Linked DNA regions of Saccharomyces cerevisiae S288C. Changing the gene in region 4 together with the main gene of any one other region gives a genetic interaction. Each region holds a gene or a part of one and is shown on either strand. Other genes may lie near its edges. The genes, in order: SSD1, SCS7, IRA2 and SWI4.

Region 1 (8,530 bases), on a different chromosome or scaffold from region 4:
CACCAGACCTAAACGTATCACAAGCAACAATTAAGACCTTGAAATTATTTTGCAGTAACCAAAACGCTAGCTTTGAAAGATTTGTTGACTTACCAACACCATTAACACCAACTATAGAGAACACATAGGGATCACATTTACCTTCTTCATCCTTTTTGCTTCTTTTGCTCTGAATTTCACGGAGGAGATCAACGGATACACCAGGCGTTAATATTTGAGTTAATGCTTTTGTTAAAGATTCACGAGCAGTATTCTCAACACTGGTCCAATTTGCAGTTTTTGAGCCTACAAGATCATGTGAGACTTGCTGTGTTAAATAGTCTGCTGCCTCTGGTGCTACATTTTTGGTTATCAATTGTTGTGTTAACTTCTCTAATACAGATTTCAAATCACTTTCATTGATCGTTTTGTTACCTAGAACGTGTTTTTGAAGGAATCCAAAAGCTGTACTGACGTATCCAGAATTTTTAGCTTCGTTCCCACTAGTTATCTCGTCTTTATGAGAAGACAAAAGATCATCAATTTCTTTGATTAAGAAATCGCCTCCTTCTGTTCTATCCCCAAAAGAATCTTTATTAATAGTGGAGTCTAGAGCTACTTGGCTACTATTGTGGCTGTTGGATGATGAGAAATCTAATTTGGCTGCATCTTCATGATTCATTTCATCAAGCATGCCACCATCACGGCCCCACTTTCTCCCACTACCAACATTTCCTGTAGATTGCTTCTTACCTTTTGTATCCCTCAATTTTTTCTTGGTATTTTTATTATGCGATTGGGGTACTGATCCATTTTTGGTAAAATTATCTGGATTGATATGGTCTTGTTTTATTGACTCTTCATATTTTATCCTAAAATATTGCTCAAATTTCTTCAGGTCGTCTTCAATTCCCTGAAGAATATCGACGTAGTTATGCTTGTTCTTTTCGTTTTGGCCCTGACGATTTTTTAGAATGGATTCACTTAAATGCAATGAGTTCCAGAGTTTTAACACCAGTGCAAGTGTTTGTTGAGTTTCTTGATTAAGCTCTAAAGTCTGCTCGGCAAAAGTCACTACGAAATACAATTCTGGTTGCTTATTCAAATAAAATAGTGCATTAAATGAAGGAGAATTTTTGTGTTCGCTGTTGATTGTTAAAAGATTGAAATCAAATCCGTCTGTATTTGCGTTTGCAACACTTTCTTTTCTAGTTACTGGGGAAGTAATCAGCTGGGATATAAAGCTGTTAATTTGTATTTCAGAAAACTTTTTTCCTAAACAGTTATATTGGTAAAGTACTTGACCTTGAGGGGTAAAGACTGCTAATTGGTCGAACATAATCAATGCACTTATTGAACCGTGAATCTCCTATTGAAAAAAACTACTTGATGAAGTAGCTGAATATTATTCAAACTGTGAGAATACCACAAATCTTTGGCTACAGATTAAACGCTGACGAAAAATTGGTTTATTTATTTCTATCTACTTATTGTACGACCTCAAATGTTTACGCAGTAGTTTCTGAAGTACGAGCAAAATTGCTCGACGATGATTTCGTTATTGTTTCCGGAAAAATTACCCAGCGCATAAAAAGTAAGCTTTCAGTACTTCTCTTTGATGATATTTGTACAGCAAAAGGGTATTTAGTAACGGAATAAATTTAATATATAAGAGTATAAATAACAAAAGACAATATAAATTGAAAAGTTGTAAATATTGAAAAGAAGGCTGCATTATTGTTTTATGTATTTTTGGGAAAAAATATATGACTTAACGAGGTCGAATAAAAAAATTTGGATGATGCCTTACCGGAACGTGGATTAAAAGGAGAAGTACAAAATTCATGCAGTTGTTAATGTTCGCAGGAAATAAAAACAAAGGGAAGGGATACTGAGGGGTGAAGCACAATCCAAAGAACGAAAGTGAAAAACAAGAAAAACAGCAATGACGATATTGGTAGAAGAGATTATACCCTCTTCATGAATGGATTTAATGCACGGACGGTTAAACATGGCAAAGCCATCCCCACCTCAGCTCTCAATAGAATAGGAATCTTTTGCAATTCATGTATTTCTTGTATATAGTTATCATTTTCAATTCTGGTTTCAGTAGTAGAAATGAATTTTTCTAAAGCATTTTGCTTGTTGTCGCTTGCAGATGGTAGCCTTAAATTTGGTACTGTTAGATGCAAATCGCTGAGTTCCTTACTCAATGGATCGCTGATCAATGGTTCAGATTCCGCTTCTTTATCTAGTTCAATATTCGCAATCTCAGCGGCTGTGGATCTGAATTTGTTCTTAATGGAATTTCTATAGGATTTTGGATTTTTTTCATCTGCTGGTATAAAAGTTGCACTATCTACGCCGGGCTGCCAATGCAATTCCAAGACACGATTGGTACCATCAAACTCAGCTTTGATCAAAGGTAGTTGATCTCCATGAACTCTCTTTTCAATACCAAATTCTGGAATAAATACATCAAAGGAGGACTCGTAAACTTGTAAGACAGTAGCCATTGTTAATAATTGTCCTGTAGTATTTCCCATGTCGTTGATTGTTTTACACAACAATAGATGAATTGCTTGTTCCTGTGCTTGATAAGCACAGTCCTTTTTAAAATTACAATATTCGGAGGTAATCTTCAAAGCTTCCATATCTTCGGTGTATGGAGTATCGTGGATAACGGCCTTTAATTGCCTATGAACGACATGATCAGCGTATCTTCTCATTGGCGCTGTGAAATGTGTGTAGATAGGTAGGTTCAAGGCATAATGCCCATATTGGTCCGGGTCTACTTTGCCAGCAATAAAGTATCTAGCTCTTGGCATGGTTTTAAACAGTAAAATTTCAATTCCGACTCTAACATCGTCATCTTTAATTTTTAGCACCCCTTTGATTAATTCATCCGCCGTATTGGTATCAAAATTGTAACCAAAATTTTGAATTTTCTTTCTAAATGACGCCATCTTGGTTGCAATGGGTTGCATCTGCCTTCTCAAAAGAGCTAGATCACCAAGTTTGGTGTAAATTTTCTCTGCAACAGTGGAGTTGACCTTTCTTTTAATCTCATTAATTACAACAAAGCCTAAAGTTCTATCCAGGATGTTCAAGTCAACCTTAACTTTTTCGTCATCCAAGCTTTCCAATAAGGACAGGGTGGGAAGTAATGTAGCTTCTGGATCATTTATTCTTCTAGCATAAAATGATCTAGCAATTTCCTGTACAGTAGAGAGGTAGCTAGTGGGACTTCCAGTAGATAATTTTTCGTCTAATTGTTCTAAAGACAAGATGTTTGAGGGGGAAATTGTAGATTCGCCTACCCAAGTAGATTTAATCCTTAAAGTAGATGAGTCTAGAGTGTAAACAACCGACAGCGTGGCTGATTCCTTGCCAGGGGCCAACGACAGTTCGTCGTTGAACGATTGTGGTAATAAATTGACAAGTTTTTGTGGCATGAACACCGCAGAGGACCTCTTTCTCGCACGCCTATCAACAGAGGAGCCTTCTTCAATATGGCTGGTCACATCAACAACATGACAACCCAGCTCTAGGGTACCATTTCCGTTATTCCTGACATGTAAGGCAAATTCAGACACCCATCCAAGCTCGGAAATTGCAAAGATATTGTACTCATTAGTGTCCGTAAAATTCCTCCTATATTCTAGACTTTCAGCCGTTAATGGTAGCGGCTGAAAACTTGGTTTTTCTTTTTGCGGATTTTTTTGATCCAAATATTCATTCGAAAGAAAATTGTTATCCCTTAAAATGGAATCAATTTCAGTATCAGGATCGTGAATATCTCCAAGTTCGGAAACTAAAATACCAAATGGATGCAAAGATGTGATTGGCCAACGTTTAATAGAGGCAACGAATAACTTTTCGGAGTATTTATCAGCGTTTTCAACAAAGTCCTTTGGAGCTAATTCTGTAGGAATTGCAATTAATGGCACCTTCTTATCAGTAGGCTTGAACCAAGCAATTTTTGGGCTTTGTGGTGGTTTGTTATTGTCGCTATTAGCTTGTTGGGATGGTCTCAACAAACCTAATGTACCGCTAAATAACTGACCAGGGATACGGTCCAAAACAGCAACGACATGGCCTGCGTAAAGTGGCTTATATTTATCGTTGATTTCTTCTTCTTCAACTAATAACAATGACTGACCTTCAACTTCAACATCGTCATTTTTCTTTTGAGTTGGACGTTGTTTCAATGAACTTCTTCTCCTTACTCCTGATTTGGTAGGAGATGATAAGGAATCACTATCATTATTGATAGTAGATGACCTCTTTCTTCTGACGGATAAATCATCCTTGCTTAGCGAATCAGACGAGGAGGGAGAAGATAGAAAATTGTTGCTTGTTGCAGCAGTAACAGATGCATCGTTGTGGTAATCGTCACTACTGTTCAAAGGAATTAGATCGTGTTGCATAGAGGCATCCTTTCTCCTCTTCTTTTCTTCCTTTTCTTTCTTGGACTCCCAAACATCGTCCACAACTAATAGTTCTACCGCGACTAAATCACCTTCAAGTGCTCTATTACGATCTTTGGAGCCGCAAATGTAAATATCCGCATCAAGAGCGCCATCTGTAGAGACCCAGGCATCCGATCTATTCTTTTTATTAACTCTTAATATACCAGCTACTAGTCTCCCTTCTTGGATTAGCTCTGGAATGTTGGCTTGGGGAAGGTAGGGTGCAAATAGGGACTTACGTCCACCTCCGTTATTATTACCTTGTGAACTGAAACTATGAACTGATGAATTAGAGGCACGATGTTTGTGTCCCTGCTGAAATATCGCAGGAGGTTCTAAGGTATTGAAGGAATTGTAATCCCTTGAATTAGATCCTCTGTGGCGGAATGGAGAAAGCTGCTGTTGAGGTTGCTGTGATTGGTTTCTCCAGTTGGAATTAATGCCTGGAGAATATTCATTGTTTCTTGTCTTTGAACGGCGGTGCGTTGAAGAGGTTGCTATGAATTCATCGTCATTATCCCCGTGAGAGTTTGGAGGAAATTTGAAAGAGGGAGGTGATAGGTTTGAAGTTGCGCGACGATGGCCCTGATGAGCATTTGGTGGTGGTGGAAATTTAAAATCAGATTGTTCTGTAGTAGAATTTGAGCCACTATCAGCTTGAACAGAATCTATCTTCACAGTTACGCCTGCTTCACCCCCAGATATTCTTTTAGCTTGTTCTTCCGCAGCAGCCTTTTTCGCTTCATTTAGACCTAAAGAATGTCTTCTGGAATGGCCATATATGCTGGATTGTGAACTCGTCTTTCTGTGTGAGTTAGACCCAGGATTATTGCTATTGTTATTGTTATCATATGAATTATGATAATATCCGGAGTTGTTCCTGGAGTGAGTTCTACTTCTGCTGCCACCTGCACTCATACCAGGTGAATTACCGTTTGAGTTGTAATGAGGGTGAGGCGGTTGAGGCGTGAAATGATTGTTAGAGCCAGAATTTCCTGACAGGTATTGTCCTGTCTGTTGTGCCAATTGCTGTTGCTGAGCCATCAACTGTTGCTGCTGTGCTTGAACTTGCTCCAACTGCTTCTGCAAAGTGAATTGTTCAATCATCAAATTTGTCAACTCACTTTGGGAACGTCTGTGTGCAACATGAATCTGCTTTGGGGCGTTTTTACCACCTCCTGTGGTTTGCACAAACATGTTATTTGGCTCTTGGGATCTATTGTTGTTAACGTTGCTATTTTTAGACATAGTGTATAAAGATGGAATAATTGGGCCAAATCTTTGCGCTGAAAGGTTTTTGGTGTTCTGTTTTGCGATATTAAAGTGACAAAGAAAAAGATGGAACTTGGCAAATACTATACGTTTATGAACCCTTGTCTTATTCTTCGTGCAGGCAACTTAGATTTCCCTTTGAAAAAAAGTTGTTTCTTTTAGAATAGTGGCTATGAAAAAAGTGCGCCTAATGCGGAAAAACGAGGCACCAGCTGTTCTAAAATAAGACCAAAATGTTTAGGGTACCAGAAAAATGGTATGGCGAAAATAAGCCTGGCAAGAAGACTATGCAGATAACTTTGACTATTCCGGTTTTTAGGTTACCAAAGACAGAAGAAAGGATCGGTCCCAAAAAAAGGAAATAGCTTATAAGGGAAGTTGCAGAAAATGCGCTTGAGTAACAAAAAATGTTAGAACGTAGCAAATATTCTAAAAGGAATGACAGAAAAACTTCTTACCTTTCTAAAATATAATCTCTCCTATTTCTCAGCTAGGCTCAAAATTATAATTTAGAAATTATTGTTTGCACGGCAAAACTTCGTTCCTTTGCTGTTAGAAAATCAGTCGGTGTTGGACTCTTCGTCTTTTAAATTCTTGACAAGAGAAGAGTTTTTAAATGAAAAGAACTAACGAGAAAAAACCAGGGGAAGGAGGGAAAGAGCGAAAATACTCGTGATCTAAACTCTTTTAGGTTAGTTTTCGTTGGAGGCAGTGGTCTTAAGACGATGGTGAAAGAAAGGACTTATTTGTAGAAGGATTGTTTATTTAATCCTTGAACTAAACAAATGACAAACTCAGGTCTCTAGCGTTCCTGTTCGTGGCCTTTAATAACTTGATGGCAATGGTAGAAAGACACACCTGCGTTATATAAGTTTAGTTTTCCCTTCTTTTCCTTTCTCATCCCCTCGTGAAGCGACTCGGCCCCTTTGGTCAGAAAATTCAAGGTGATACAAGTCGTCGTCCGTGACATAGGATCAGGAATCACAATCATCACATTGCACTCTCGTTCTTTAAATTATGTATGAGATTTGATTCTATATAGCTACTTGGTGGCGGTATCCTCTCCTGGACCCAACTTGTATAATGCGTCTAGGAATCCCACAATCAATTTGTCTGCAACGCCAGCAGTTTTAACGCTCCCGGCGACACCATATAGAGCGCTAGTTCCGTCTGGGGATGGTTTAGAATTTGATTCGCTCTTCAACTCTTGCACGGTAGTACGTAAAATGTCGCAGATCTCATCCACAACATGAGCGCTCAATCTCGTGAAGGCCATGTGTAGTGCAACCGGCTTTTGTAGGGCATTGAAATGCCAGCCTTTCTTGGACAACCTGTCAGATAGTTCGTGTATGTTCAAGGTCTTTGAAGAAAATGAAATGACTGAATATCTAGGGTTGCCCATTATATTCAGGTCTGGAATGTTTTCCTGGATGTATTTTTTAAACTTCATTGCTGCACCGACTATTTCTTGGCACGACTCAATGTACCCATTTTCACCCATGTTGACCATAGTGGCCCAACAACCTACGACAATAGCACCAGGCCTGGACCCTGCTAATGTAGGAGAGCCATATAACCCGCCAGTCCAAGCAGGATTTACGTAATACTGATGCATTCGTAAGTCGCTGTTTCTATACATTATAACTGACGAGCCTTTTGGTGCAAATCCATATTTATGAGTGTCACATGATATTGAGGTGACTCCCGGGACTCTAAAGTCAAGTAATGGCAGATTTTTGTAACCAGCCTTTTCCATAAATGAAACAATAAAGGAACCTAGACAACTGTCGACGTGTAAAGGAAGTTTATATTTTTGTGCTATTTTACCCAATCCTTCAATATCATCGGCAATACCATGAGGAAAGTTTGGAGCGGAACCGACCAGTAAAATTGTGTTCTTATTGATGAATTTTTTCACTTTTCCCAGGTCCACTTGATATGTCGTTGGATCTAGCTCCACGTGGCGTAGCTTCATGCCAAAGTAATAAGCAGCTTTGTCAAACCCAGCATGTGCAGTTACGGGAGCAATTATTTCTGGTTCGGTGATTCCACGATGATGAAGGGCATACATTTTAGCGCTCAGACATGCTAAAAGCAAGGATTCTGTACCACCTGAAGTTGTGGTACCACAACCTGTATCAGAAGGGGCATTAAACATTCTTAAAACCATAGAAACCACTTCGGATTCCATTTTACGTACGGCAGGAAAGACATCGGGATGTAATTGATTGGCAACGCAATATTTTTCGTATGCGATTGTTTGTAAGTGGATCAAATCATCACCACCGTGGTAAACGGCACCAGAGACCTTTCCTTCCTTCCATTGGGTATGTGGTATCAAGTCGTTCAATTTATTTAGCTCTTCAATAACATCATCCTGAGGTATCCCATTGGATGGCAACTGTGGGAAATTCATTAACTGAGAGTCCGATCTAATTAGTTCGTCTTCGATCGATTGTTTGACCTTTGTGACTTCCTTTTCTACGGTACCCCTCAAAAATGGTGAGTCCAATAACCAACGAAACAATCTTCTGGAACTATGCTCGTATGTTCTCACTGCTAACCTCACCGGCCCATAAACTTTCAACAGATAAAAAAAATTACTTATTAGCTTGTAACAAAAGATCACAAACAAATAATCCTTCAACATGTTGTACCATGGGGTATTTCTGAGGTAACCATGTATGGCTATTTTTAATTCGTTGATGGTTAGAATCATAAACTGGGCAAAGTCGCCTTCTTCCCTTAGTAAATGAATTGGCATGCCATACCAACCATTAATTGATACTGTTTTATTTGATACTCCA
Region 2 (6,184 bases), on a different chromosome or scaffold from region 4:
GCAGACATTATTGGATTATGTTTTATTATTCTTGATGGCTCTAGGTCTCGACTATTTTGCGTGACACTTCCTTAGTTCTTAATCTATATAAAAGAGCCTGTGATGGCCTTTTACCCTAGATTAGGAAGCGAAGGGGCCTTTCCCGAAAGGTTATGTATGACTCCCTTGAAATGCATATGATAATTAAAACCAAAAAATGTTATGTGATTCTGAAAGGAAATGCTGTCATGTGAGTCAGGTGTAGAGCAGGTTAGAACAGTTTATATTACATAGTCTGAAAGGCACGTGAGAAAGTGCCATACCATTAGCCGAATACGTGAAATGTCTAAAAAAATACAAGTGAAAGAATAAAGTGCTAAAAAAACTATCAGGCTCTCAGAAGGCAATTTAGCCATATGTATACATATATATGTGTGTGTATAAACCTCATATAAGGGGCCCCAATGGTTTATCTAAAGGATATCCTATTAGGACTTGTCTGTCACACGCAAAACTTCAAATGACATAATGATGAGCACTTGTCAAATAATTGAGTAACTTCTTCGATATCTCTGGTATGTAAAAATAAGTATATCGAGATGAGCGATTGTATCTGTATAGAGGTTGGTTTCTTTTTCTTACCTTTCTCTTTTTATTTTTTTCTCGCATTGGTTCAAAAAAAAAAAATGATGGTTTAAATTTCGTAAAATACGAAAAATGAAGGGAAGGTCCCACCCGGATTCGAACTGGGGTTGTTCGGATCAGAACCGAAAGTGATAACCACTACACTATAGGACCTTTTTCTTCTGTTGTTAGTGTACACTAAAACTTCCGGTTTTATGGAACCTTTTTAAGAAAGATGGTCCCTATTTTAACAATATCGCAAGCAATGGATCTTGTACTGGTACGGAAAACCGTATATACTAACAAATCTTAGGTTTCTACGTCTGACTAAAGAAAGAATTGTGAGTGAGGTTTATAGTAGAAGCTCTCCTCATGACTTTGGGCTATGTAAATTGTTGATAATTAGAGGTAAAAAATAGTATTAATGAAGAAATAATTACTGATCTTCTTATACTAAATAAGAGAGGTATATAAAACACACGCCGATTGGTCATATTAATCATGACCAATATAATAGTGATTCCGGTAGTTACTATACATTTATGTGACGACTCATATTCCTCATATATGTACCTACCATAACATGTTCAACTAATAGGTCTTTAACACAGCTTCAGTATTGTCTGAGCTTCTCGTTTAACATTCCTTCTGCAATAGGTGCAATCACACTTAAACGTATACGAGGTGTACATTAATATACGATGTAAGCATTAGATTGTTACCATAGCAACTCATGTCACTATTAATTACTCTCGTTCCAACATAAATGCAATTGATGATTTGCGCAACGCAGATACAGATTTTACTTTATTCTTCGTGCCTAAAATGGACCATCGTTTCACTTACTAGCCGTTGTTTACTAAGATATAGTTGTATACGGTGTGGAGGATGATAAGATCATTGGACCAATATAACTATATAAATGTCGGCACCAGTTTAATGGAACCTCGAATGCAATTACTGATAACGGAATGGATTAAGAAATGATTAGGTATGAGGTACTCTTATAGTATGTAGAATTTCTGATTTGCTTATGTGTTCATTTATTCTCGAGAAGAACCCTTAGTATATTCTGTGTCCTAATATTACAAAAAGTCAATGAGAGTCTAGGGACTATCAGATAACTTCACTGTGCTCATCTTGATTCCTGTTCTAACGACAGTAACACAGGATACGGTTAGTATTTTTTTGCCAACCTGATCTGTGAAAGAAAAATGTACCTGTCAATTCGGTTCTTTTTTGAGGCCGCTTTTTCGTATAGTCGTCATCGATTGGATATTCGTTTAAGAAATAACGTGCTTGTTCATCGATTTCATCTATGATTCCATTCCATGTGTATGTATATATACGTAGTTACATATAATAATATAAATAAAGATTTGAAATAAATATGTCGCAGAAAAGAACTTTGCTCAAGATTTCATTGCTCGTAATGTTGTTTTTCCTAGGTTGACAATTTTGGACGAGGCTGACCAATAATTATTCATATTTCATTTTGGACAATGGGGCATCGGGGCCTAAGTAGGTGCCAAAAACTTCGTCCCAAAACCAGGATGTGACGCCAAATCCCAGTTGGTAGTTTTTATAATGATGTTCCAGGTGATATTTTTTCAACTTACGCATGAAGGGAGGCAATTTAGAGTGGTGCAAGAAGAAATGACATTCGTCATAACAGACATAACCGAAAAGACCGCCAGCAAAACCAGCGTAAGCCCAATAAAGTGGCAGCAGAGCAAATACCAACTTGTAAAATGGAGCACAAAGGATGACGAACAGAGTAGGTGGCATAACTAAACGGTACTTGTCCATGGGCAAGTAATGATGGCAACCATGTAGTAGAAAATGTGTGGCGAATGCGATGTTACTTTCAGGTAACCAATCATCGAAATGAAATAGGAAACGGTGAAGACCGTATTCAATCAAAGTCCAAACAAAGACACCGACACAGAACAAGAAACATGCAAATAGCTGGTTCATGTTCTTCAAAGCAACACCCATGTGGTACACAACTACAGGCAACCAAGCAACTGGAACAACCCACCAAGCTGTTTTAGTTAATGGTTCCAAGAAATTACCAAATAGCGGGGCAGACCCCTTACCGTAATGTCTTGGTCTATGGATTTGGTCAACGTAAAAATCTTTCTTGAAATCACTACGCAGAATCTGCATCAGCAAAGGACGGTTCAGATCCAAAAATTTATGCTTTTTGTAGTCGTTACTGTAGTCCGTAGCAATACTTAGTTTCTCCTCGGCGGGCAACTCCTTTACAAAAGTAGTGGAGTCAAACTCAGTACCGTCAGCTGACAACTGCACTTCAACCTTATGGTTCTTGTTAGTCAACAATCTCGCTGCCTCTTCGTCAGTTGCCAAGTAACCAATCAAATATTCGTCCTCAAGGATTTCATACGCGGAGTCGCTGTGTTCATGCACATCTGAGTCTTTCATGATCTCAGTAATGTCCTTACCAGCATAGTCCAAGATGGACTCGTCACCACCAGGGTGTTCGCTCAAAAACCTGGTCACGTCATAAATCTTTCTGTTTTGATAAGTGACCCAGCAGTCATTGGCAGTATTGTGTTCTTGTACCGTCTTTTTTGAAAACAGTTCCAAAGTCTTGGAAGTATTAGTCGACATCTTCGTACTAGTTTTAGCTTACCACCGCTTTTAGTGCCTGCCACGATAACAATAGAAAAAAAAACTAATCAAAGACAATAGACACAATAGCTTCTACTATCTAATACCTCTGTTCTTATACGGTTCCAAATTGAAAAAAAAATTAACTGCGAAAAGATGTCACACGTCAGTAAATCCGCGCAAAACCCCGTTATATTTCCGACGTCGTGCGGTAGTTTCTGCGCGGAACGGCCCCGCGGAATAGGCACATTTTCTTCCGGCCGCAGAAAGCTCTCTTTATCAAAAGCAAGACTGTTTTCGGCTATTGTATTATGAGAAGTTTGGTGTTTGTCCAACTTTCCCTGTTGTCCTGGGAAATATTCTGTGGGGAACGTAGCTTTGTGAGCATGAAAGCTATCTTTTCGTGTATGTACGTGTGATGTGTATATGTCTATGTATGCAGCGCTGAAGCCTTTTCAGGGTTGTTGTTGTTGTTGTTGTTGTTGTTCTTTGTCGTGGGCTACCTGCTCCATGTACAGAGTGTGATTAACCAAGTTCAGATAAGCATACATGAAGTTACTTAGTAATACCTGCTCGCGCAGTCCCCTCTTCGAATTGCTCAATTTCAAGTGACTCAGCCGGTATATGGCCCTTTCGACGTTAATTGGTAGACGGTGGTCGAACATGATAACCGTAGACACTGTCAGCAAAGGCAGTGGGAACCCAAAGGCACTGTCTGTGAATTGAACCGGGGAGTTTGGTTTGTCAGGTTTTTTGACGTCTGCAAATGTAAGCTTTCTTGGGGGCAATATGGAGGTATGTTTCAATGGTGGTGCCGCTGGAGCCTGAGTTTGAGCTGAAGCTTCAACTGGGGCTGAAGTTTGGACTGGGGCTGAATTTTGGACTGGGGCTGAAGCTTGAACTGGGACTGAAGTTTGGACTTGTTCTTGAGCTGGAGCTTGTAGTTGAGCTTTTTGCTCATCGGTATTCTCCTTTTGGACGTGTTTGGAGTGTTGTTGGTTGGAAATTTCTGTCGTATTGCTCCTCTTCTTGTTCTTTTTCTTTGCCTCCTCTTCTTCTCTGTCTCTAGAGTTACTTTTGGTACTACTTACACTAACGGCCGGCTGTAGTTGGGGCAAGCTCTCGGAATCGCTTTCCTCTTTCTTTTCTATCTCTATTGCGCCTTCCAATTGTGGTTGTAATGGTATCTGCTGCTGCGGCTGAGAATCTTTAAGGGTTTTTACGCTTATTTTTTGGGAACCATGACGGCTGTGATGGTGACGGTGAGGACGAGGGCGATTGCGCAACACAATGGGTTCAACCGGCTCCCTTCCACTTTTGTTACCAAGCTTTTTGCTTTTCCTCACGCGAACGTGCACGGCATCGTTATTTGGTATTGATGGTGACGATGATGGTGACGACGAGGGTGATGATGATGCATCATGCTTGTGGTGTGGCTTTCTTCTGAATAGGTTCGCAAAAGTTTTCTCGATTTTCTGTCTTGTCTGTGATGTGGCGGTGGAAGTACTTGAATTGTTCATTTCTTCTTTATTTGACACCTCCGTCTTCTCACCGCCATTAAATAGAGAAATATAATGTTTTTTGGAATTGTCGAGCTCCATTCTTTGTGAATCCACGTTTTCTTCATTTTCATCGTCCCCTTGGTTTTCTTCGTTATCGTCTTCTCTGCTCATTTTATTGTTCAACCATGTCCATCCGTTTCTTCGACGATGTCGCTTCGTTTCTTTGTTGTCATCCGTTGCGCTTGGCTTTACCATGTCTGTTGTTCCCTCTCTTAACTCTAAGTCTTGTTCTACTGTGTCATTTCGAACCTTGACGGGTACCTCTTCGGCTTCTTTCTCTATTCCCATTTCTTGTTCCCACTCGCCACTAGACTGTCTGTAATGATTATAAATGTCTTGAAAATCACCAATTGACCCAGGCGAACTCATATTCTCAGAATCCTCATCTTGCTGTCTAAAAGGGGATTTGTGCGGATCTATTTCGACCTTTATTGTATTCTTGGTCAATTTTAGACGTTCTTCGTCGTCGTTTTTCATTTCATCCACACTTTGTTCTACTTCTTTTTCTTGCTCTTGTGACCTGATTCGATAAGTGTTGAATCTACTCCTTCTCAGTGACGATCGTTCAGGCCATGTCATGGTATTATTGATGGGCATATTGGAGGCAAATTCACCATCATCCAAAGTATTCGCTTGTGAAGTTGAAAAACCAATATCTCCTTCATCATAATGCCCTTCCGGTTGTGGTTGATCTTTTTTATCTGAATATGAACCAGCCATACTAAGAGTTCTGGCTAATGTAATGGCATCATTGTCGGTTAGTCCTGCACTATTTGAGATCTTTGTCAGTTCTTCAGTTATATCTCTTAACGACACTGGTCTCTCTTTTATTTTGGAGATTCTTTCTTCGACTTTATTTACTGTTTCAGAGGCACTGTCTCCCTTATTATCGTCATCTTCGTTATCATCAAACTCTGTATATGACCTCCGCAATGTTGAAGGCCTTCGTATTAGTGACGCGTTTCCATGCCTTGACAGCCCCCTGTTCAAGTTGATAGTGTTGTTCTCCTTATTTTCATATGATTGTGATTCTTTATCCTCCCCATTATCCTCAATATCGTTATTTTCATTGCTATTCCCATCATTATCTTCACCATTGTCGCTTAGTTGTATATTTTGTAAAGTATCTTGTACAAGCTCTAGGAAATTATCAGGCTTAACGTTAGGGTGTTGATTGGCGGGAACCCATAATAAGTTTTTCTTTAATACGTTAGCATTTAATTTCCTGGATGGAGAGTGAACACCTTTTTTTATACCTAAGTAGTTACCTTGTTTAGTCTTATTGGAGGATTCTATCCCTGAGTTACCCCTCCCATGCAAGTTCTCTAGCGGAGTTGGATCGCTATATCGTGTGTTATTAACGGTGGTTGTGTCACTTGGCATTG
Region 3 (7,297 bases), on a different chromosome or scaffold from region 4:
AAGCAGGACAAAAAAACCGTAAAAACACGAAAGACCCAGCGGCGATAATTGCGTGATCCGGAAATTTTTCACACGCAACTTTATAAATGTTTTGGCAAATATAAAATAAAGGAGGGGGAAAATAAGATACGGAGTTGGATATGGATTCCAATAATTCATTCATGTATTTAACGAAGAGCTCTATTTGACGTTCAGCATCTGAATCTTCCGGTTTTAGTTTCTCAATTTCAAAAAAATCTCTGTTCTGGATAATTTTTTTTAGTAATGGTTGCAAAGTGCGAATCAAATATTCGTTACCCTTGGACCTGGCTAGCATAGATAATGATCTCGTAGCACAGCTATTTCTTCTAAGGATATCCGTAGGTCTGGAAGATTTTTCAATTTCATTTTTAATCAACTGTGCCACTACAATGTGGGTGGCATTCCTCGTTTCAAATGCATTTATTAAGCCAGCAGCATAAGCATCAATATCGCTAGCGGGACAAACCGCTGCTCCAAAGGACGATAGCTGGGGATGTTCAATCGTATATCGCAAAAATTTGTCTGCTGCCTCTAATTTTCCAAGGTCAGTTTTAGCCGTGTATGTCCGATAGTTCGTAACGATATTAATGAAGACCTCCAAAAATGCATTCCTAATGTTTCGATTTCCGGAATAGCCCATCGGTAAGGTGAACTGCAAACTCGCATCAACATTGGTGTTTGAAAGATTTGTTAATGAAAGTATTACATTGTCGTTGAGGACACTCATTTTGTGCCTCAAGAATACTGGGTAATTGTCACGATCACTACTTTTTTCAAGGCCTTTCATTAAGATGTTGAAATAAAACCCAAATATCACAGACCTAGATCGAGATAGTTCGGGATCTGACGCGGCAGGTGGAATCTCTAAGAAAGTATGTCTCGTGAGGTACGCAATAGCGGTTGAAGCTTCGATTGCCGTATCTATGTATAGAATATCCATGTCTCTTTTTACCAAATCCATTTCTTTTAGAGGTTTTGACAAGTTTTCGAAATCGTACTCTCTCGCAATACTCACTTGAAACCAATCAGTGATTTGCCTCAACCATTTATTTTTAACGTGAAAATGATTTTTGACACCTAAATTAACCTCTGAGTGCTGCAAGGCACTGAACATTTTGGTCATTTGAATAATTGCCTTGAGATATTTTGGACAATAGGCTGGTATTTTTTTTATTTCATCTGTCAATAAATCAATAAGATCTACAATCTCTGTGGAAAAAAGCATCATTACATAATTGTCATCATCACGACCTAGGATTGTCCGCAGCATTTTGATTATTTGTTCTAATAAAACATAGGAACTTTCATTTTCTGGTATTGATAAGTCTGAACAAGCAAGTTCTTTTAACTTGAGCCTCAAATTATTAAAAAGTAAGTTAAAAGACAAAGGATGCAGTTCTACACTTAGAATATCTCTTGAATTTTCTCTCGTTAATAAATCCGGATAGTTTAACCATTGGCATTGTTTTGAGATAAAAGAGTCTATATTTTTTTTCAATTCTGAAACGGTGTCGAGTAGGTATGGATACATTTCTTGCAATATCTTTTTATTGATGAATAGGATACCCGACAAAGAGGCTAAAATACCCGCGAAATTTCTGAAGTCGTTCCGTTCTTGTTTTTCTAAACTTTTACTGTGTGTGTAAGTATGCCACTTCTTATAGATCATCCTCATAGAATCAAGTAAGATAGCGTTAGGAATAGTAGCAAATCGTAAAATATTATTTCTTGTCCTCCTTTGGAAAGCAATTGAACCAGAAGTTGTGTAGTTGTCATGACACATCGCTTCTACAAACTCAATATTATGAACCCAAGTTTTATCAGCATCATCAATATTCCTCTCATGAAAATTGATTGCAGAAAGATACTCTGTGTAAGCAATCTTTAAAGTCTTTTCAATTTTTTGTTGACTAGAGTATAATGAAACAAATAGGGCCCTACCAACAGTCCCCATAATCAGCGGAAAGGTGAGTTTTTCAGAATCACTTATGTATTCCATGTGGTGTGAGGCCTCCGCGATCCCTGCTAAATGTGATCTAACCTTCATAAACTTGACAGTTATATCCAAGAGAATTTGACGCTTTTCATTATTAATTTTCAAATCGAAAAGGCCCATTGCAAATAATGTTACAGTGTAACTGCAAAGAAGATGATACCCTTCAATACTGATATTCTCATCTGATTCACCATAAGTAATAACATTCGATAATAAGGTATCCATGAATGATTGAGCAGTATTCTGTAAATCTACATCCGGACTTACGATGGCGACGAAAATCGGTTTCATAATATTTCTAAAATCCTGCGAAACCCATTGTAAATTCGAGTTTATATTGTGAGGAATGATGAAGTAACTATTCGGTCTCTTAAAAATACTGAAAATATTAATCATTATTCTTCTAGCATCTTGAAGAGTTGCTTCATTCAAATCTTTTGGTATCAAATGTTCTTGAATGTAATTATTTGTTGATTTCATGAATTTTCCTAAACTTTCATCGGAATAACGCCTCGTTCTTATTTTCTGCAAAGGCGATCGAATTCCGAATGCTGCCGACGATAATGGAGTAGAATTTGTTATGGCCATTGGTGTGGCACTGATGCTTTCCGTTTGCGGACGTTGTACTGGTGAAGATTTTTCCGTTCCTGGAGGTGAAGTCAATGTAGTCGGTATTTTATTCCTTATAATACTAGATGGCCCACCTAAAGCATGACGCGCTCTTGGGGCCACAAGATGTGACAAGTATGGATCAGAAGACAAGTTCTTTGGTGAACTGTTTAATGAATTAACGTTGTCAGAATTTCTTGAAGTACTTGAACCAACTAAAGACAGGGTGTTCATTGGACATATATCAGTATCCAGTCCCAGCGGAGAAACTGGTGTCATTGAACTTTGAGATGTAGATCCTGATCTTGACCGGGTTGTCGAACATAAAGAGGGTGAGCTCCCCTTGAAATGTTTCTTCGTACCATACTCATTGATAATTGTACCGTCAAGAATGGAAGCAACTATGTCGGTGATTTGCTCATCAAAATACGGAAATTCTTGTAAAAGAATATCTGCTATAATGGAGAATAATGTTTTGAAAAATTTAGAAATTTTAACCGCAATTGCCTTCCGCAATTCCTTCTTACTTGGTATGTCGAAGAATATCCTGAATCCTTCAGTATAAAGGCATAGCTTCTGCATGTTTAAATTGTTGGCCATTGTATCGATGCTCAGACGTGCCAGTAATAATTCATGATCGAATTGAATAGCTGAAGAGAAGAATATTAATTGTAATTGAACAAACGTGGTGGAGTTTTTTTTCAAACAAACCATCAAACTGTTATTTATTTTTGAATTCCAGTCTTGACCGACGCTTAAATTTGTCCCCATTATGGGGATGAGTCTCTTGGCAAAAAGTACTGAGGGTAAGTTTCTATCCACGAGAAAGACCGCAGAAGTCATTGTAAAGAATGATAGTAAGGCCCTCATTGTATCTAAGAGGGCAACATCTGATACAGCTTGATTCCCATTTAAATTTCTTAGCAACATCTTCACAAATTTTACAGTTTTTTTGGTTGAGGAAGGTAAAGAAGTTAATTTCTTTAAGCCTTGTGTAATATGTTTTATACCCGAAGTCTTTTCGGAACCTGTCTCGTGTGCAGTATTATTGAAAGAACTTGTTCTTTCTTTTGGACGATGCATAGTACAATCAGGAATATATTTGAATGATGTAGCGTTTAATTCATTAAAAAGGTCAATATCGAACATTGTCAAAGTAGTTAAAAACTTCAGTACGGATGTGTGTGGTAGTACCTCAGTATCATCAAAGTGCGTGTATAACTCCAAAACATTATCCAAACGAGTGACAGACAAAAAATGTTCGTCATAATCCTTACCAGTATGGCCAGTTTTGTGTGCATCGTATGAAGCGCGACTTTGTTGCTCTGCTGTGTATCCAGTTGGGGTGGAATTCGATGGTGAAGCAGCTGCGGCGGCGGCTGCAGCTGCTGAGTTCAACCGCTGTTGCAATTGTGTTGTTGGAGTTGGAGTTTGAGATAATAATGAAGATGCACTAATAGTGATGTTAGACATCGTGGGAGTATCTGGTAAGGAAGGGTCATATTCTCCTGGTTGAGTGTGAGTAGAGAAATCAGTTGTTGTTGAATTAGACGTTGAAGATGACAGTGAAGTAGAGGATTGAGAGTTTGTAGTCCATGAAGAATGTAGTTTTCTTTCAGACTGCTGTTGAATGTATGACTGGTGGTGAGAAAGCTGACGACTTAAGGATTTTGCTATTATGTTTTGATTGTTGTTATCCGATGATGATGAGCTAGGTGGTGACGATGGCGAGGAGGACGAAGGGGAAGATGAGCCTTGATGAGCATTTTGATTGGTGGTTATCATGCTATTCACATTAAAAGTCGAATGGATCTCCTCGAAAAGTGTATGGTTTAACGTGTTTAAGGATTTCGAGTGTTCATTGTTATTATCTTTTAATAAGTTGAAGAGTTCATAATATTCCGCAGGCCTAGCCATTATCCAAAACATTATTGCTTTGGCGCTGTAATGCAAAAGTAGGCAATGATAAATCGTTTTCCTTAACGTCACCGATAAGTTTTTGATGAGTTCCAAGTATTTCTTAAAATTATGCTTGCTTAAATAGATGAAGCTGAAAAGATCAAAGTGGGGCACTATGCTGTTATAAACGGAAGATGGCAAAGAGTGTGAATGGGAGTGTGAATGCGTGTGTGTCTGTGTTACGGGCACTTGCACACTCTTTCTGATAAATTCAAAATACTCGGACGGATTGGAAGCCGCTACAAATCGGAGAATATGGCCTAGAGTAGAGTCAATCATTTTACAATGAGAAGGATGGTTGTGCCTTGTCAGATAGGATTTGTGGCGGGGAAGAATCGAGGAACTCAAAGTCGTTAGAATGTTTCCATGAACATGACTGATCATATTTTGTAAAATTTGCAAAGTTCTTGTATTGAACTTCAACTTCGCGCAACTCTCAAGCAATTTCGATGCCAGTTCCGGTATCAGTGCCTGAGGTTTGCTCTGGTGGAAAAAGTGTTTGTTGCCATTGGAATGAGTCGACGAGTAGTCGGGCAGAATACTGTTAAGCTTTGGTCTGTACTTCTGTTCTTGGTCATGTTCTACGTGAGTCGAAATGTCGTTGTAATGAAGGCTTTCTTGATTTTGCCAATTATACTCTAGCGCATCACTTAACAATCTTAGTATAATCAGTATTGATTCAATAACGTCACTGCTACCCTTATCTGAAATGATTTCGTGCCCTTGAAGAAGCGATTCTATCAACTCCAAGGTGCCTTCCACCATAGCATTTGCATCTCGGGAAACGGTAACGTTAATGAGCACAGATCTGCATGAAATGAATGAGGAATACTCTTCCACTTCCGAATAGGTACTTAGATTAGACTCCACCGGAAGGATCGGGAGAATTCTTTCAAAAAGAATATGATTAACCAACGTCCGAGTCATGCGGGATGACTTGGAATCGGTCCCGTGTTCTTTCTTCTTATTCTTAGTGGGCTGGGACATGCTTCTCCCTGAAGAAAGATAATGTATACAGTTTAGTTGATATCAAAAAATGGTGTAACGTTGGGGGAAAAGTAACACTAAAGGAGAAAAGCAAAACGAATAACAGAGGACAATGCTATATGCTAGTGTGCTAAAATGTGGTTAAATGTTTGCTACAATTGGTGAAAAAGTACTTAAGCCTTGTTCTGATTTTGTTTTCGCTTTTTCGGTCTTTTGTTTCCCAGGAGCTCTAGACAATGAAGTAAGCGGAGAGAATGTAGGGCAATAGGATGTGCTTAACTCCCCGGTTATATGTAGAATAGATAATCGTTGGGCAAAACTTTTCACAAGAAGACACAGCAAAGCTTGGGGTTTTCAAAAAGGCGTGCGAGCTTTATTGTGATGGAAATTTTCGTTTCATCAAGGGAGCGTTCTAGAAGAAACGAGAGCTCTACGAACATTTCTGCGCCGCGGATTGATTCACCGATCGGGTGACCCTTTTTGAGGAGCTACTTTGGGTTGGAATCACACTAAAATGTGTAAGGCGGTCAGTATAGCAAAGAACTTGGGGTGGGACGCTGGTGCCGTGCAAGAAAGGCTACGTGAACCTCGTACTAGTCCAAGATATTGGCTCGATGCATTAATGGCAGACTCTTATCTCGCTAAGATGTTTGAAGGCACATCGGTTCTAGAGGTCCAAGTCCCAACCCAAGTCAAGGCCAAGCAAGGCAAGGGGATTTAGAATAGTTCTATCATTCTGCGGGGAATGAGCGGAAGAGTAAGAGTATTGGTTCTGTTGTGGATGACACTTACAAGGGTAACTACTGTTTTTCTTGTTTTCTTATTTTCTTGTTTCCCTGCTTTTCTCTGGGATCTGTGCGGAAGGCGTCATGTCCCTGCTCGTCCCTGATTGTCCGTACTTTTCTGGTTAGCCGTATATCGTTTGAAAGTAGATGGCATGTATGAAGAGCATGATGCTAGGTGATAAGTAATGAGAGGCCTTAGGAAGTAAAGAGTTTCGAAAAGGGTTATTTTATATTTATTGTATTTATTATATTTAATATATTTATGTGTATGTGAAAAGGTACTCATTGCTGTATAAAAATAGAGTTTGACCTAGAGTTCTTCCCAAGTCAGGGCTTTTTCATTGTCGTCACCGTCATAAGAGAGTGAAATGGATGTACTGATGATACTAGAGTCATCCAGTTCTGGTAACGTATCGATTTGAAAGGAGTAAAATGGCTCTTGGGATGCCTGTAAACTTTCTGCAGATAATCTTGAAGGTGGCCTTAAGTTAATCATTGGAGAAGAGCCATACTTGCCCAAGAAGATCACTTCTCCATACTGATTTTCAATCTCGATAGTGGAGCCGGCCTCTAAATCAAGTGCGTATGGAAAGTATCGGTATTCCTTGTACTCCTTTATTCCTATTTCATGAGGACCCATGTCAATAATTTGCGTGGTTGGCTTATCGCCAGCGTCAGTAAACTTCAGTTTGCAGTTGCCTGCCAAAACAGAGTTTGTGTTGTTAAACAACTGGAAATACAATGAATTGTCCCTTTGGTTCATTGTGATTTGCAATGAGCGCTCATTTGGGGGTTCCACTTCTATTTTAGTTTCCTTTTTCGAATGGTCAGAGGCGATTTCCGTCTTACTGTCACATTCTTGTGATAACCTCTCATAGTCATGGTAACGTTGAAAAACGTCCTCAAGTTGTTTGACTGTTTTCAACTCTGTGAAAAAGTT
Region 4 (8,292 bases):
GAAGCAACCTGGGATGGTGGCAGTTCAGAGGAAGCGAAAGCTAACAGTCTAATAGCAGAAGAAGAGGGTGTATTTTCCTCATTTTCGCCTGTTTCGTCTTCGTTGTTTAATTCATCGTCAACATCGATCTCTTCACAAGCCACCTTCAAAGCTGCAACAGTAATTTCTGGGCCCAATTTGCTTTGAGAAACCTTCGATTTTCTGTAGGACAATGAAGATATGATGAATTGAAGAGCAAAAACTCGAACATCTTCGTCAATCTCACTGTTAACAGCAATTTGTAAAGACAGCTTAATCAAATCCACAATAAAGTTTCCTGTTAATTGGGAGTCCAATAGCAGGAAATCGTTTAAACAGTTAAAGATTAATTTAGCGTTCATGGTGTCGTCGGCCTTGATAACTGCGTCTAAAACGTTAACCACAGATGGAATTGAGGCGGCGAATTTTTGAGCTTGAACAGGGTTGATGGTTTCTTGTTCTTCAATCAAAGCAGAAACGTGGTTCAAAGCCTGGGCAGATAATGATCTGATCTCCAAAGAAGATGGATCATTAATTGTCTGAGAGAACAAAGCCAAAAAGTCATCGATGTGGCCAGATAGAGAAGAGGTGAAATCTTCCAACAGAGAAAACAAAATAAAAATGGCAGTTTGTCTTGTTTGAACGTCTTCACCAGAAGCAGTTTGGATTAGGTTAGGGACTAAATCTGGCCATTTGTTACCATCTAGCTCTTCAGTACCAATAGAAGCAATTACTCGAGCGTTGGAATGACGAACATTTTCTTTTGGCTCACTAAATGCTGTTTGTAAAAGAGATGTTTTGATGGAGGCTCTAGTGGATTCATCAATGGCGTTCCAGTGCTTGGAAACCAACTTTCTAGCTTCAACACCAGCTAGTTGTTTCAACGAATCATCGGAGCCGTTCTGCAAAATATGAATCAAAGCTGGCAAAGTTGTAGGCTGGGTATAAAATTGAGTTTGCAAAGTTTTTGTAGCCTCCTTCAAGCCTACACCAGAAGTGATAGCGTGCAAAGTTTGCTCAAGTTGACTTAGAAATTGTTGATCCATTATACTACTTGATACTAAAAAAGTGTTTTTCGTCCCTCAGTTTTTATGCTGCTAAGGCAGGATTTTGGTAATATACAGAAACGAGAAGAAGGATCCTTGCGGGGTCTTGCCTATTCTTTTTTGTTGACTAATAAAATCAATACCAAACCTGACAACAAATAAAATGAAGGATCTATGGATAAGTGGATGTTTCTATTTTTTTTTTTTTTTTTTTTTTTTTCGACCTCATCTCATCGCGCTTTCCATTCATCATATTGTACGAAAACAAAGCACAATCGTAATAAAAGACATCCTGATAATTAGCAAAGGGCTAACCATAATAGTCTAAGTTTAGTAGTTCAAATGTTTGTTGACATGCACTTGAAGCAACTCAAGCGCAATGAGAAAAGTGACTATACAAATATGTAAAAAATTGCTACCAAAAAAAAAAAAAAAAAATTTAAAAACTCTGATAATATAGTAAAAATTATTGGTACATTGTGAATTAAAATTTATGCGTTTGCCCTCAAATCCTTTTCTATATCGTCCAATTTTGAGTCAATGTTCTCAATTGTGATACCAATCAAGTTTCTGTATTTATCTAACTTCACCGATGAATTAATTTTGCTTTTAGCTTCGCTTATTTTCAATGTTGTCATCCTTCTTTTAAACTGTAGAATAGTTAGTTCCGTTGCTAGTCTCAACGTCTCATTTACATCATATGATTCTTGTACAGTATTAGAAAATTTGGCGTCCGCTTTGGTGTTTTTAGGAGAAGAAGTTTCCGACGTTGACTTTGGAATTGGCTCTTCATCTTCCTGTTTTTCTGGATGTGAACTTGAGTTAGTATTCATATCAACCTTTGATTCCTCATCCTGGACAATTGTAGCCAGTTTTAAAGCTTGAGATTTTTCCAAGCTTTGAATAAAATTTTGCTTTTCAGAATTCAACTTTGACGATGTTTCTTTAATCCTTGATTGTAAATCTGATATCGAATTTATGGGAGTTTTGTTTGATACGGAATCGAAAGCATCCTCTATTTGATGTGCTATTGTAATCAATCTCTTCTTATTGTTAGAAATAGAGGATTCGGTTTCTACTACTTCGTTGTCCAGATTTTTAATTTCTTCACCCATTATTCTTTGTAGAGAAGAAACTTTTGTATTTAATTTGTTGATCTGCTGCGAAAGCGGTTTTGAGTACTTTCCTAGTGGAGACATCTGTATCGGCAGAAGGGAAGAAGGCGATTCCAATGATGGCATGGCAGTTTTCACACTATTCAAGGGATCCTTTTTCTTTTCAACTTGATTCTCATTATCCTTTGCCTTTTCTTTTTCATCTGATATTGACTGTGATCTTCTTCTGTATAAAATGGGAGAGTTTTCAAGAATTTTGGACGGCGTAGACTTTATATCTTTAATGACAGACGACGTCACGAAAGAATTAATATTCGACAAGTCTTCCATAATAGTGTTCATATTTGTAGAATTTGGCTGGTTGGAATGCAGGTATTGACTTTCGTTGACTTCAGAATCTGTTTTAGCTATATTGACATCTGCAGTAGAATCTTCTTTATCAGGATGTTGAGTTTTTATAATTTTTGGAATTTTGACATTGTTTTGTGGTTGCTGTTGCTGTTGCTGTTGTTGGTAATAATTCTTTTGAGGAAGGTTTCGAGCTAACTTTCGATCTGCCTTGGTGTTGTTGTTTCTGCTGTTTGACCCGCCAGCCGGAGTATTAAACTTATTCATTATTGACGCAGGCGATTCGTTATCTAGATTCAATATATCTGTTGACGCACCAAGATATACCAGTCTGTTGTAAACCTCGAAGTTCAAGTTTAAAGCAGATAAATGCAGTGGAGTGTTCCCTATATTATCTTGGTAGTTCAAACATATCTTCAACAAATTGTAGTCCTGCTGACCCAAGCTCAATATTATCGAATCCATATAAGATTTTATTATCATTGGATTTTTGGACTTATTAACGCTCAATTCAATTAAATAATGAAATGGCAATCTTCCATTTACGTCGGGAGTTATAAGACATATTTTTAAGATGGATATTATTTCATCGAAAGCATTCTCCTTGTAGCAATTGTTGTAGAAAATTGATTTTGTGATGCAATTAAAACCGAGCTTATTACACTGTAATGCATTAGCATTTAAGGTAATTAGCATTTTTATCAAAGGAATATTCGCCATAGCTGTAGCCCAATGGAGTGGAGTGTGACCTTGATCATCAATTTCAAAATTTATGTTAAAATTTTTGGGCGCCGGATATAAAGTAGCCAACAACGCTTGATCTACATCAGAAGACCTTTCCGATGATAGTATTGTTAATATCGTCTGCTTGTATTCTTGATCTGTCATTTTGTTTTCCAACTTGTTTTGAGATGAAGTATTTCCTGCGCTGAACGGTGTCATAGATCGTGAAGACATATTCATACTGTTATCATTTTCATTTGATGAAAATACTTCAATGGAGGAGCCATTGGATGCTACAGTGTTGTTGTTATTGTTGCTGCCGTTACTGTCACAGTACTCATTATGGTGATCATTTGGATTTTGAAAGGATTGCCATAATAAGGGTTGCTTCATTAATTTGAAATGCCTTTGTATTTTTTCTTGCTGGTTGTAAAATTGTTGTTCATTAGATTGATTCAGCTTTTTCCTCCTTTTTTTACTATTGCCATTTGTAATGGAGTCCATCATGGAATGATTGAAGTTATTCGTCAAATATTCATGATGATGTTGTTGTTGTTGTTGGCTTTGCATAGGTCCGTCTGGAACTATGATCAAGTTATTATTATTGCCATTATTATTGTTATTACTGCTGTTAATGACATTGTCGATGTTATGGCTGTAACTATTACTGTCATTATTATTAGGGTTATTCAGAGCAACGTTCTTGTTTTGTAAATTTGTCGGAATTGGAAAAAATTGAAGAGGTTTCTGAGTTGCCGAATAATTATTATTGAAAGAGTTTTCATGAATGGATTTTTGTTGTTGAATAATAGTAGATTGATTGCTGTTGTTACTAATATTATTTATTAAATTGTGTCTTGTGTCATTGTTGAAATTCATCGTGGTGTGGTTATCATTATTGTTCATTATATTCATTGATGAATTTACTTGGAACTGTTGAGGAGTTTGGAAAACAAGGTTTTGTAAAGGACTTGGATTCGGCTGGTTGATCGATGCATTTTTCTTGCCTTTCTTATTCGCAGCTGTAGTTGTAGCCGATGTTGATGAACTACTGTTCTTTTTTCTTGGTGTTTTATTGTAGCTCGATGGAGAAGTTATCTTCGTTCCCGGCGAAGTCTTCCTCAATATACTATTTTTGCTTCTCTTTGGTGGAGGGTTATTTGGATCGAATTGAAAAGTTAAGATGGAGTTGACCACAGGGTCAATTATTTCGTACTTATTGACTAAAAACTTCGCTGAATCCAGTGGGATCCAAGTACCTTGAAACCTACCATACCCACCTTGAACTTTTTCATGTTGCATATCATTTGATTCCTTTTCCAGTATTTTAGTTCTTTTCGTCTTCGAAAATTGAGCTATTTTGAAAACCTGGGTAATATTAATCCAATCATCTTTAGTTCTTCTCATCACTATTTTAGTTTCAAACCCACGTATATAGCATTCGTATACATCGGTTTCTGAATACGTAGCTATTTCAATCACTGGATGGTTTGAATGAGGCGCCAAAAGAACTGATTTTGATATTGGCGTGATGTTCTGGTGATTGGTATTATCTTTTTGGTTTGATATCAAAACATCAAATGGCATGATTTCTCGAATAAATCAACCTTTTAGAACTACGCAAGAGGGACAGAAGGGAAATGAGAAAGAAAGAAGAGTTAATTTTCGGCAAAGAGCAATTATTGTTGACAATATATCAAATAACGTGAAATAATGTACCTTTTTTTCAAAGGGTAAGTGGAGGAAGAATCGTTTGAAAAAGCGACGACCAATGCTAGATGTGATTCTGCTGTAACAACAATTAATAGTAAAAATAACACAATACACTAAAGAGTTTCTTTTTTTATTATCTCGAAAAAAAAAAAAGCTTCCAGTTGAATTTAGCAGCAAATATTAGTCAATTAGTTGATATGCTAAACCAATGCTAAAGGATGGCAATAACTATAATATCTTTTGTGCGTTTTTCACGTTGACGTGCTTCTTAGTCCTTGTTCCTCTTTTTTTTTTGTTAGGTTAACCATTTATTTCCTAAACGGGAAATAAGCAGGCGGGGAGCTGAATATAATTAACTTTCGCGTCATGGTTAGTGACGCGTCACTTCAAACGCGGGTAACAAAATCAAGTTGTTTTTAGCCGCCGAAGGTAATTGTATCCATAATGAAGGCTAGATTAAACCAATAATTTGTAGTGACAAAATTTATAGTCAGTAGCAGGTTCTCTTTAAATTGAGAGATTTCGACAGCCTTTTACTAGATGTCTAGTTTAGTAAAACTAATTTTCGTATGCTGCTAAACGACCTAAGATCCGCAGTCACCTATCGTTTAAAGTACGCAGTCACAATGCGGTTGAAATGTAATGTACTTATATTACCTCCTTCTTAAGTAACATTTCATTTTTTCCGCCACCGTACACAGAGTAATTGCTTCGTTCGTTATCTACTTGTACTGAAGTCCCTCTAAACCTACTGCCTTTTATTTTTAGGCTCTAAAATAACCATGGACAACGTGAATTGGGTAGCATCTTTTTTTTAATAGATAGTTTATTATGTATAACAATAATTTAAAGATATTCATAGTGATAAGTAATTTTAAATGAGTTTAAAGTACTACTTTTCCTTTACCGCCAGTTTCCTGTACTATGAAAAAGGCAAATTCCGCATTGTAGCCGCCCACACGCATTTTGATCATCAATTACGAAATTTGCCGCACACGTGTCACGTGATAAGCACTCTTACTATCATGTTTTACGGAGTAGCAATGATGTTCAATTATTGCAGCTTTCTTTCGTGAAATCGTAGTATCATAGACCTTCCTAATGATGGAAGCGGTAAAGAAGGAAATCGTAAAAGTAAATTAACGAAGTAGTATTAGTAAAACAGAGTTGAAAAACTGATAAATCTTCAACTCGAACTGAAAAGAAACACAATAGAATATTTTTTCTCAATGCTACCTTTATATCTTTTAACAAATGCGAAGGGACAACAAATGCAAATAGAATTGAAAAACGGTGAAATTATACAAGGGATATTGACCAACGTAGATAACTGGATGAACCTTACTTTATCTAATGTAACCGAATATAGTGAAGAAAGCGCAATTAATTCAGAAGACAATGCTGAGAGCAGTAAAGCCGTAAAATTGAACGAAATTTATATTAGAGGGACTTTTATCAAGTTTATCAAATTGCAAGATAATATAATTGACAAGGTCAAGCAGCAAATTAACTCCAACAATAACTCTAATAGTAACGGCCCTGGGCATAAAAGATACTACAACAATAGGGATTCAAACAACAATAGAGGTAACTACAACAGAAGAAATAATAATAACGGCAACAGCAACCGCCGTCCATACTCTCAAAACCGTCAATACAACAACAGCAACAGCAGTAACATTAACAACAGTATCAACAGTATCAATAGCAACAACCAAAATATGAACAATGGTTTAGGTGGGTCCGTCCAACATCATTTTAACAGCTCTTCTCCACAAAAGGTCGAATTTTAAACAAATTTTGTATTATAATAATTATGTACATATATAAATATATTGGTACATATGTACTGTGTGTGTATGTGAATGTTGATTACCGTTTTCTTTAAAAAAAGCTTTTCTTCTTTTTATTACCGAGCTTTCCTTTAGTTTACAGGTTGACTTTCTGGTGGTATATTTTATTTATAAACCATGAAGCCGTTAAGTAACTTAATGCGCCAAGCCCTAAACTGCACATTACGTTGAAGATTAAACTATAACAAATGGAAATTAAGATAGATGAAAACCCATGGATGTTTAGCACTGCGAAAATGTAATATAGCGAATACAATTCCATATATACACCACCGCTAAATCCCATTTCAAAGCACTTCCATCTCCAATTGTTGCGAACCACCTTATCTTCGAAGCAAAATCTCATTAATAAATAACTTCCAATAATTGATATCTCCATAGTTAACACGCATAATAGTATGATACTCAAAAAAAGGAATCCGTAAAAATAATAAAATGTAGTTTTCTCCAACCAGAGAGATTTGTAAACGTATTGCATTTCCACGTAAATTACTAACAAGGGGAAAATACCACATAAATAAATGCCGCAGTAAACCAACGGGTTGAACTTGGCTCGTGATTTAGGTACAAATAATCCATTGCCATCGCTATTGCTTTCATCTTTAGTAATTCCACTCAACCAATATTGAGGCAAAGGTATATTATTAGCTACAATACCACCAAACAAGCTGAGTGGTATACAGACGATGAAATAAATGCTCATGAAAAACACAATAGTCTTGAATGGTAATGCACTTGTAGAATCATGTGCCCAAACAATACTATTTAATAAAAATGTGCTCACCATTACAATGCCAGGTAAGCTGGACCCACAAAGTATCGTAAAAATGGGACTAAACTTCTTGTAGTCTTTGAGGTATCTGTTATCGTCAAGGTAATTGGCCTTGGTTCTTTTCGTTTTCGTTACCATACTGAGTCTTGTCCCTACGAATGATGCCATGAATGCTCCAAGTACGAAAAATAAAATGGCCATAGTTAGCACACTGTTTCTTACATTATGCAATTTGTTCATTGAACATGATATCGTTAAGGATCCAATTATGGTAAATAAAAATTGCACCCCAAATGAGACCAGAAGGATTAAAACTTTTAAACCAAATAAATTTGGTCTACCATTTTGTATCCAGTCTTTCGCCACCGTGTAAACGGAGTATTTACCATACTTGTCATCGTCCAGGTCATCCTCTGTTTCAATTCCTTCTATATTTATCATGTATTTGGGGGACTTTGAATTACTTTTATCCGTGTACATGACTCGTACGTAAATAATAAGCGTGATAAATGAGATGGACAATACAATTCCCACTGAATTGGCTAAGCTCATCCAATGAAACTGAATGCTCTGTTCGTCAGATAACTCACCTGCGTTCAAGAAATAATCCCATCTATGATTCCAGTCTACTTCAAATTCTTCCCTCCAATATACGGAGTAAGTAAATGGCAAATATGTCAACTCATTTTCATCCTCAGGAATGA

What was found.
Region 1: mutations in SWI4 (region 4) and SSD1 together harm fitness more than expected from each alone (negative genetic interaction), as found in Saccharomyces cerevisiae (6 studies listed by BioGRID, with this or other methods).
Region 2: mutations in SWI4 (region 4) and SCS7 together harm fitness more than expected from each alone (negative genetic interaction), as found in Saccharomyces cerevisiae (4 studies listed by BioGRID).
Region 3: mutations in SWI4 (region 4) and IRA2 together harm fitness more than expected from each alone (negative genetic interaction), as found in Saccharomyces cerevisiae (5 studies listed by BioGRID).

What each region holds. Positions count from the first base shown.
Region 1 is NC_001136.10:1,043,694-1,052,223, forward strand, and holds SSD1 (mRNA-binding translational repressor SSD1), read right to left. Parts: upstream 5,700-8,530; coding exon 1,947-5,699; downstream 1-1,946. Other genes in the region: SRP101 (signal recognition particle receptor subunit alpha), read right to left, coding at 1-1,318; sphinganine-1-phosphate aldolase DPL1, read right to left, coding at 6,766-8,530. UniProt on the Saccharomyces cerevisiae protein: Can suppress the lethality due to deletion of SIT4, and partially the defects due to BCY1 disruption. Is implicated in the control of the cell cycle G1 phase.
Region 2 is NC_001145.3:807,541-813,724, forward strand, and holds SCS7 (fatty acid alpha-hydroxylase), read right to left. Parts: upstream 3,238-6,184; coding exon 2,083-3,237; downstream 1-2,082. Other genes in the region: orotate phosphoribosyltransferase URA10, read right to left, coding at 1-8; YMR272W-B (uncharacterized protein), read left to right, coding at 3,549-3,656; ZDS1 (Zds1p), read right to left, coding at 3,693-6,184. UniProt on the Saccharomyces cerevisiae protein: Ceramide hydroxylase involved in the hydroxylation of sphingolipid-associated very long chain fatty acids. Postulated to hydroxylate the very long chain fatty acid of dihydroceramides and phytoceramides at C-2.
Region 3 is NC_001147.6:169,345-176,641, reverse strand, and holds the start of IRA2 (Ras GTPase activating protein IRA2), read right to left. Parts: upstream 5,573-7,297; coding exon 1-5,572. Other genes in the region: ATG19 (Atg19p), read right to left, coding at 6,668-7,297. UniProt on the Saccharomyces cerevisiae protein: Inhibitory regulator of the Ras-cyclic AMP pathway. Stimulates the GTPase activity of Ras proteins.
Region 4 is NC_001137.3:381,040-389,331, forward strand, and holds SWI4 (SBF complex DNA-binding subunit SWI4), read right to left. Parts: upstream 4,838-8,292; coding exon 1,556-4,837; downstream 1-1,555. Other genes in the region: karyopherin KAP123, read right to left, coding at 1-1,064; U6 snRNA complex subunit LSM4, read left to right, coding at 6,193-6,756; TMN3 (Tmn3p), read right to left, coding at 6,893-8,292. UniProt on the Saccharomyces cerevisiae protein: Part of a complex involved in cell-cycle-dependent transcription. SWI4 and SWI6 are required for formation of the cell-cycle box factor-DNA complex. The repeated element in the upstream region of HO (5'-CACGAAAA-3') is called the cell cycle box (CCB).